2 linked regions of the Schizosaccharomyces pombe genome follow. Each later gene encodes a partner of the first gene's protein in a complex. Each region holds a gene or a part of one and is shown on either strand. Other genes may lie near its edges.

The links.
Region 2: yip12 (region 1) and gem8 share a complex: the UniProt entries of both Schizosaccharomyces pombe proteins name them as parts of the core SMN complex.

The regions. Positions count from the first base shown.
Region 1 is NC_003424.3:1,268,765-1,272,264, reverse strand, and holds yip12 (SMN complex subunit Yip12/Gem2), read right to left. Parts: upstream 1,516-3,500; coding exon 1,349-1,515; exon of another isoform or gene 1,244-1,348; coding exon 895-1,243; exon of another isoform or gene 821-894; coding exon 629-820; 3' UTR 519-628; downstream 1-518. Other genes in the region: pex12 (ubiquitin-protein ligase E3), read right to left, coding at 1-250, 293-376; rsm22-cox11 tandem protein cox1101, read left to right, coding at 2,099-3,500. UniProt on the Schizosaccharomyces pombe protein: The SMN complex catalyzes the assembly of small nuclear ribonucleoproteins (snRNPs), the building blocks of the spliceosome, and thereby plays an important role in the splicing of cellular pre-mRNAs.
Region 2 is NC_003423.3:2,289,892-2,293,223, forward strand, and holds gem8 (protein gem8), read right to left. Parts: upstream 1,450-3,332; 5' UTR 1,413-1,449; coding exon 912-1,412; 3' UTR 704-911; downstream 1-703. Other genes in the region: Rieske iron-sulfur protein, ubiquinol-cytochrome-c reductase complex subunit 5, Rip1, read right to left, coding at 1-167; cyclophilin family peptidyl-prolyl cis-trans isomerase Cyp7, read left to right, coding at 1,687-1,692, 1,733-1,761, 1,804-1,908, 1,999-3,250. UniProt on the Schizosaccharomyces pombe protein: The SMN complex catalyzes the assembly of small nuclear ribonucleoproteins (snRNPs), the building blocks of the spliceosome, and thereby plays an important role in the splicing of cellular pre-mRNAs.

The sequences.
Region 1 (3,500 bases):
AAAACAACTTTTTTAACACGTCAATCCCATTGAGCGAAGTAGCGGACTCTGATTCTTGTGGGAATTCCTCAGCGATTATACTACTGTCACGAACCGCTATTACTCGTTTGAGTTGAAACCTTCTTTCAACAGATGTAGCATTCCATTTTTTAAGCTGAGATTTCTCAAGTAAAAGTTTTACCAATAAATAAATACCATCAAAAGAATTATATGCCCGTAATAAAAATCTTGGATATCGATGTGTGAAATACTGAAAGAGATTAATTTATCATCATTTATTTATTTTACTTACTGCTAGTATAAACCTTAATGAAGGTGATATAAGTTTTTCCACCTGTTGAACTTGTAAAACTTCCAATAATGAAGGCGAATCCATTGACTGAATAGCTCCTTAGACAAGTGCGTTGAAGCAAGGAAAGGACTGAACTAGATCCATTAGAATCTTTGTAGTTTGAGTACTTACTGTAAATTTGCAAATAAAAACTGAAATTTTAAACAGTTATTTAATGGAATAATATCCTAAAAACATATTTAAAACAAGCTATCAATTTTAATTTTTTCCCTATAAACAAACGTATGCTATATGAACATGTGTACCTAAATTTTTTTCGACCAAGATTTATAGACTCTATGTTTGAAAGAGATCTTTTTGTCCATATCGATAAACTAAGACTGCTTGAAGGGCAGATGCTGACATCTGCAGAGCAGGAAAAGAAGTATGCGTACTTCGTAAAGACTTGAGTACTGAACGTAGGGTCGATATATCTTCTCCATTCAAAAGCTCAGGAAGTTTATAACAAAAGCAAAAAATCCATTGACTCTAGAAAAATGTTAGCAAATTTTAGAATGAACAAAAATACACCAGCAAAGTAGCATGAGATCCTTGTTACCAACCTGTAAATCAATTGCGTCCTTTTCAAGCCAGCTGGACAAGCTTTCTAGGATCTCCAAAACAGTTGCCAAATCAACCACTGCTAATATGGCCCAACAAGGAGCTTTATGCTCAATATATACACGCCATTGTTGTAAATTTTTAGGTAAAATAGATGCGTCCAATGAAGAAGATTCCATATATTGCTCAAGCCTTTCCCCTTCTTTATCAATTATGTTTAGTAAGTATCGTAAAAACGGGTCAAAGCTTTTTTTGCCGGCCTCGATTTCCAATTTGCGAAGAGGAATGGTTTCTCTTGTTTCAGGCTCACGACGCGCCGCTACAAATGGAACTAGCTTGCGAGCTTCTTCTCTGAACTTGTCAGTAAAAAGCCCAATTATTGTTACAATGATTAGATTAAAGCATTCATGTTGCAAATTTCGATTTTCACAAAAATTCATATATAAATGTTCGTACCTCACAGTTGCTAAATAATCTAAACCATCAAGTGGTATATCATATTCCAAAGATTCTGAAGCACTATTGTTGTCGATTTGTGGAAAAGCGCTGCGTTGATTTGTTTCCTCATCTAATGATCCTGAAGTCTGATATTGTAAAGGATTTCTTTTTCTTTTCGAGGGCATTTTGAATTATTATTGTACAATTGCAAACTTCTCATATAAACCAAATGGAAAAGAATTACCGAATTTTCATGAAAATACTCAAGGAATGTAGGCTGTTTTTTTCCGGCAACTTTTCGTTTGTAGTTAGTTAACAAGGAATGTTTCGTAAATCGAAGATTACCCTAGTATAATAGAATGGTAAGGTTAAAGAGGTATCTGTAGAACTATCAATGTGAAGAGTCTATCTTGATCAAGTGTAATGCTAAAACTAATTTTAGCTATTTCTTGATAATTCCTTTACTATCATAAAATTTATTACTTGTTCTTATTTTCAAAGAAGTTCAAAGTTTTGCATTTTTTTGAAGTGTATAAGAAGCTAAAACTGGGAGAATATTCACTCAGACAGAATTGCCTATCCTTGAACTAATTTAATAAACATAAAACATATAGATATGTAGGAAATTGTACTATTCATTCTTCTGTCAACGCAAGTAACACCATCTGCGGCCACTTAATCAGGCACTTACTCTACACAATATACAGATCAGTGCTTTATCCCCAAATCCCATTGTTCATTGGTGAATTGGTGTTTTGAGCAGCACATATGCCCATTCTAACATGCAGATATAAAATTCTGTTTCTTTATAATTTACGGAATTGCTTTACTTTTCAAAATCAGCGATGTCTCATACCATATGGAACAACCACTACCATTAGGTGGTATAATGCAAATTTTCAAGCTGTTCAAAACAACTTTTCTGATTATAAAAACGAATTGATCTCTTCACATCGTCCAGAAGCTTCCAGTTTACTCGACTTTTTGGTAAAGGATCAAAAGAAAAGTGGTGATATTAGTTTGCATACAAAATTTAATCTATATGTGGACGATTTATTGAAAAAGAGCGAAAAAGGACAAATTAAAAAATTTATTAATGATATTAAAAAAGATTTGGCTACGGAATCTCAGCTTCCATTGTCTGCGCCATTCAAAGATGAATCTACTCGGACTATGACAGATCCCCAAGTTTTAGCTTATATTCATCAGTCTATGCCGTATCAATATGCTTCTCTATACAGCGTATTGACTGACTTGAAAATTGTAAACAGTGATGTGTCTTGCAAGTCTCAACATATACTGGATTGCGGTAAAGGTCCAGGTATTGGTGCTCTAGCTAGTTATTCAGTCTTTCCCACACCTAATTCAGTTTCAATTGTTGAGGAGAACCCATTTTTGAAAAAAATCATATATGATATTCACCATAACATTTACCCGTCAACTTCGCCGAATCCAACTAGCCCTGTTACGCTTAACCGTCTACCATTGGGTAAAAAGGATTCATACACTCTAGTTATTGCATCTAACAAGCTTCTTGAAATGAAATCGGAGAAAGAACTCTTTGATTATCTTCGTTCGCTTTGGAGTCTCGTGTCAAATGATGGTGGTCTTTTGGTGCTCTGCGAGCGAGGCACAAAGCGTGGCTTTAGTTTGATTCAAAGAGCTAGAACATTTCTATTGCAAAAAAGTAAAAATACTTCTGATAAACAATTCAATGCCCATATTGTAGCACCCTGTCCCCACGATGGTCGCTGCCCCATTGATATAGAAAATGGGGTAAGAGCAAATATTTGTTCTTTCAAACAACATTTTTTCCTATCCCCATTTTCCCGTCTATATGTCCCTCGTTCTCATCGTCGATCCTCGGATCGCTCTCATTACAGTTATGTTGTTATTCAAAAGGGTATAACTAGACCGCTTAATAATACCACACAAAGGTTCAAGAATGATGAGGATTTACTAGAAAATGTGAATGTTACATCTCCAACTCTTAAAAACTGGCCACGTATAATTCGACCTCCACTGAAGCGAGATGGACATGTCATAATTGATGTCTGTGATAGCGATGCTCGGCTTAGAAGGAATATTGTTCCTAAATCACAAGGTAAACTAGCTTATCGATTAGCTAGGAAAAGTGCTTGGGGCGACTTGTTTCCGTTAGAGGGCAAAG
Region 2 (3,332 bases), on another chromosome or scaffold:
TACTCCGAAAAGTCTGGCATTTCCGGAGAGTCAGTATATGTACGAATAGAGGTAAATTTTGGGATGGTCATCATTGAGCCCTTCAACGACGAAGCAGTGCTTGAAACGGGAAGCAACCGTCTTAACGAAGATGCTAACGACTTAGAAATAAATTGCTTGGCCAGCATTTTTACAACGTTTTAAAGAGAAACAGGTTGTTGAAATATTCGGTGGGTAGCGGTTGGGGAAGAAACGTCAAGCTGCCTCTGGTTTAAAAATGGCGGCGTTTGTGGGTGCTGTGATTTGCTAAGAAGGTTAGTTGTATTTACCGAATTCACCGATTGATGAAACTACATATCCGAAGTTCTCCGAAAAATAACGAAGTACACAATAAAAAATTAACATAATTTTACAGCTACTTTTAACGATCAGTACAGTATAGTGCTAGACTGTGCAGTACATATATCATCACGAATCGAAAATCCTATATCTTTCAAATTCCAATATTATGGTACGCTAGAGATCATTTTGTTTTATCAGATATAATTTTCCAGTCTATTTTACTAGGTTCCGTATAAGAACATAGCTGGATTTACGTTCTTCCGTCCAGCTATAAACTATTTGGAGATTATAATATTATCCAATATTTAGATGTTTACAGTAGTATCATTCATCACTTTACAAGGTACAGCACCTGCATAAAACAATACAACAGTATTAGATTGAAAATTATCGTATTCTTTCACTAGCCTTAATTATTTTAAGGAATTGGTATATATCATTAATCATAGTTCAATGTAGAAGAAATGCAATATACTTATGTATAATGTATTCATGAAGATTGGTGACATTTATTGAATATTAAGCGTATCCTTCATTAATATGCAGGAAATTTTTCTACTCTATTGAACATCATCAATTCATAAAACGTTCTATCCTCGTATTGGTGTTGCCGGCCAATATTTGATAGGTAATGCAGTAAACTTGCGAAAAATATTATCAAGTATTTTTTCTTCCTCTAAAATTTCATAAGCCGAGTAATGGAACTGGTTTTGATATATTTCGATATCTTTCAATTCTTTTAATGAGATTGGTGTTTTTGGGTTGGTTTCTGGTTTGGAAGAAACCATTCTCTCCTTGTCCAGTGCTTTTTGTCTTAATTCTTTTTCTTTTAACAATTGCTCCTTCTCCTTTTTCCACATTAACTCCCTTTTTTCCGATTCACGGAACCAAAGAATTTGCTCATCTGTTAACGTTCGTATAGTCCCATCAGGATAGCGCTCTACACTTTGTGTATACTCAACGTTTGCACTTTCTGAATTTCCCCCACGATCGTTTTGCGCGAAAGCAACATTCCATAGGTTTACTGCTTTTGCATTAAAATGCTCATCATGGAATTTCTGTAAGTCTCCTTCTGTAATTTCAGAACTCATTAAAAGTTCCGTGGTTTTACACAATATTGGATTCAGTAAGGATTACTTTGCTAGTTGTAACAAGTTGCGATGAAATCAATTTGATGAACGAGCAAAGCTACGCTAGAACATTTAATGAATCACCCAAATTAAAATACTGTATCGTAGTGAATTTGATAACCCAATTAAAGCAAAACAAGGTAATACGTTAGGATTATACTAACAACGCAAACTTACAAGATGAGTAGTTTCTTTAAGAATTTAGCGATCCTTAATATTTGATGTACTTTATGGAATGGCCGTAAGTATATTTTTCTTGCTCCCTTCGACTAATCTCTCAGACTTTGACCAACTTGGAGCCTTTGGCAACGTATGTTTTTCAGATTTCCAGTTACTTTTACTAACATTATAGGGGGACTGTCATCCTTAAAACTACTCGCGGCGATATCCAGATAGAACTTTGGTGCAAAGAAGTGCCGAAGGCCTGTAGAAACTTTATACAGTTATGCTTGGAAGGGTAAGTTAAATCGTTGATGAGCAACGTTGTAGTCCCAAATGTTGCAACATTAAACTGCTTCGGGTTTACAAATATACTAATTAAATACAGTTATTACGATGGAACCATTGTTCATAGAGTTGTACCAGAGTTTTTGATACAGGGTGGAGATCCTACTGGCACTGGAATGGGTGGTGAATCTATATATGGTGAACCTTTTGCTGTAGAAACACATCCTAGGTTACGGTTTATAAGAAGAGGATTAGTGGGAATGGCATGTACTGAAAATGAGGGAAACAACTCTCAATTTTTTATCACCTTAGGTCCAACACCTGAATGGAATGGCAAGCAAACTCTATTTGGACGTGTTGTAGGGGATACCATTTACAATGTAGTAAGGATATCTGAGTTAGAGTTAGATGCCAACCAACGACCTGTTTTTCCCCCAAAAATAATTTCAACAGAGGTAATTGACAATTATTTTACTGACATAAAACCTCGTTCAACTAAAGAAGAAAGAGAGAAAATTGCCAATGAGCTAGCCCACCAGGAAAAACAGAAAGAAAGAAACAAATTATTGAAATCCGGACGACGAAATAAAGCAGTTCTCAGTTTTGGCGATGAAGTCGATATGCCTATTGTAAAAAAGCCGCTCAGGCAGAAAACGCCAGTATCCAGATCATCTGATACTACGACTGAGTTAAGTAAAGATTTGATTTCATCTTCATCCTCAATTCACAGTACTTACTCGTCTGCCCAAACTGGATTGACCTCTGCTAAAGTCTCTTCCGATGAATATGCTAGGCAAGTAGACACTTTAGATACAAAGTTAAATTCTTCCTCTAAGTCCAAGGTACAAGAAGAAATTTCCCGTTTGAAGTCTGAACTTCGTGACTTAGAAAAAAGTGGTGGCTCTTCAAACTCGAAACCCGTGGTTGTACGTCCTAAAAAACGGAACATCTTGACTGAGGAACTTGAAAAGTATAAAAAATCCAAAAAAGTTGTCTTAGGGAAGCGAAAAAACTTGGAGAATGACGAAGAGTCGACCCTTCGAGCACTTTCATCATTTCAAAGCAAGATTCGAAATGCAGAAGATGAAGATGTCATGGATAGTCAATATGGTAGCAAAATAGAAGACACACCTTGCAGCTTACACAATGTTCCTGGTTGCTTTTCATGTTTTGATAGGCTTGGCGAAAAAAATATAACAGAAACGAACAGCAACTGGTTTGCGCATCGATTGGTGGCTGAAAATGATCCAACAAGAAGAACGGAAGAACTTCGAATACAACGAGCAGAAGAGCTTAAAGATGTTCCAAGTGCTAGGCCTAAGAAGCTTTTAATGAAACGCGATATAATTTAATGTTTTACAAAGAAAAAAAAACCTATGCTTCTTTTAAGTATAAATTAATATTTCACATATTTCGTTTGTAAATTCTAATAAT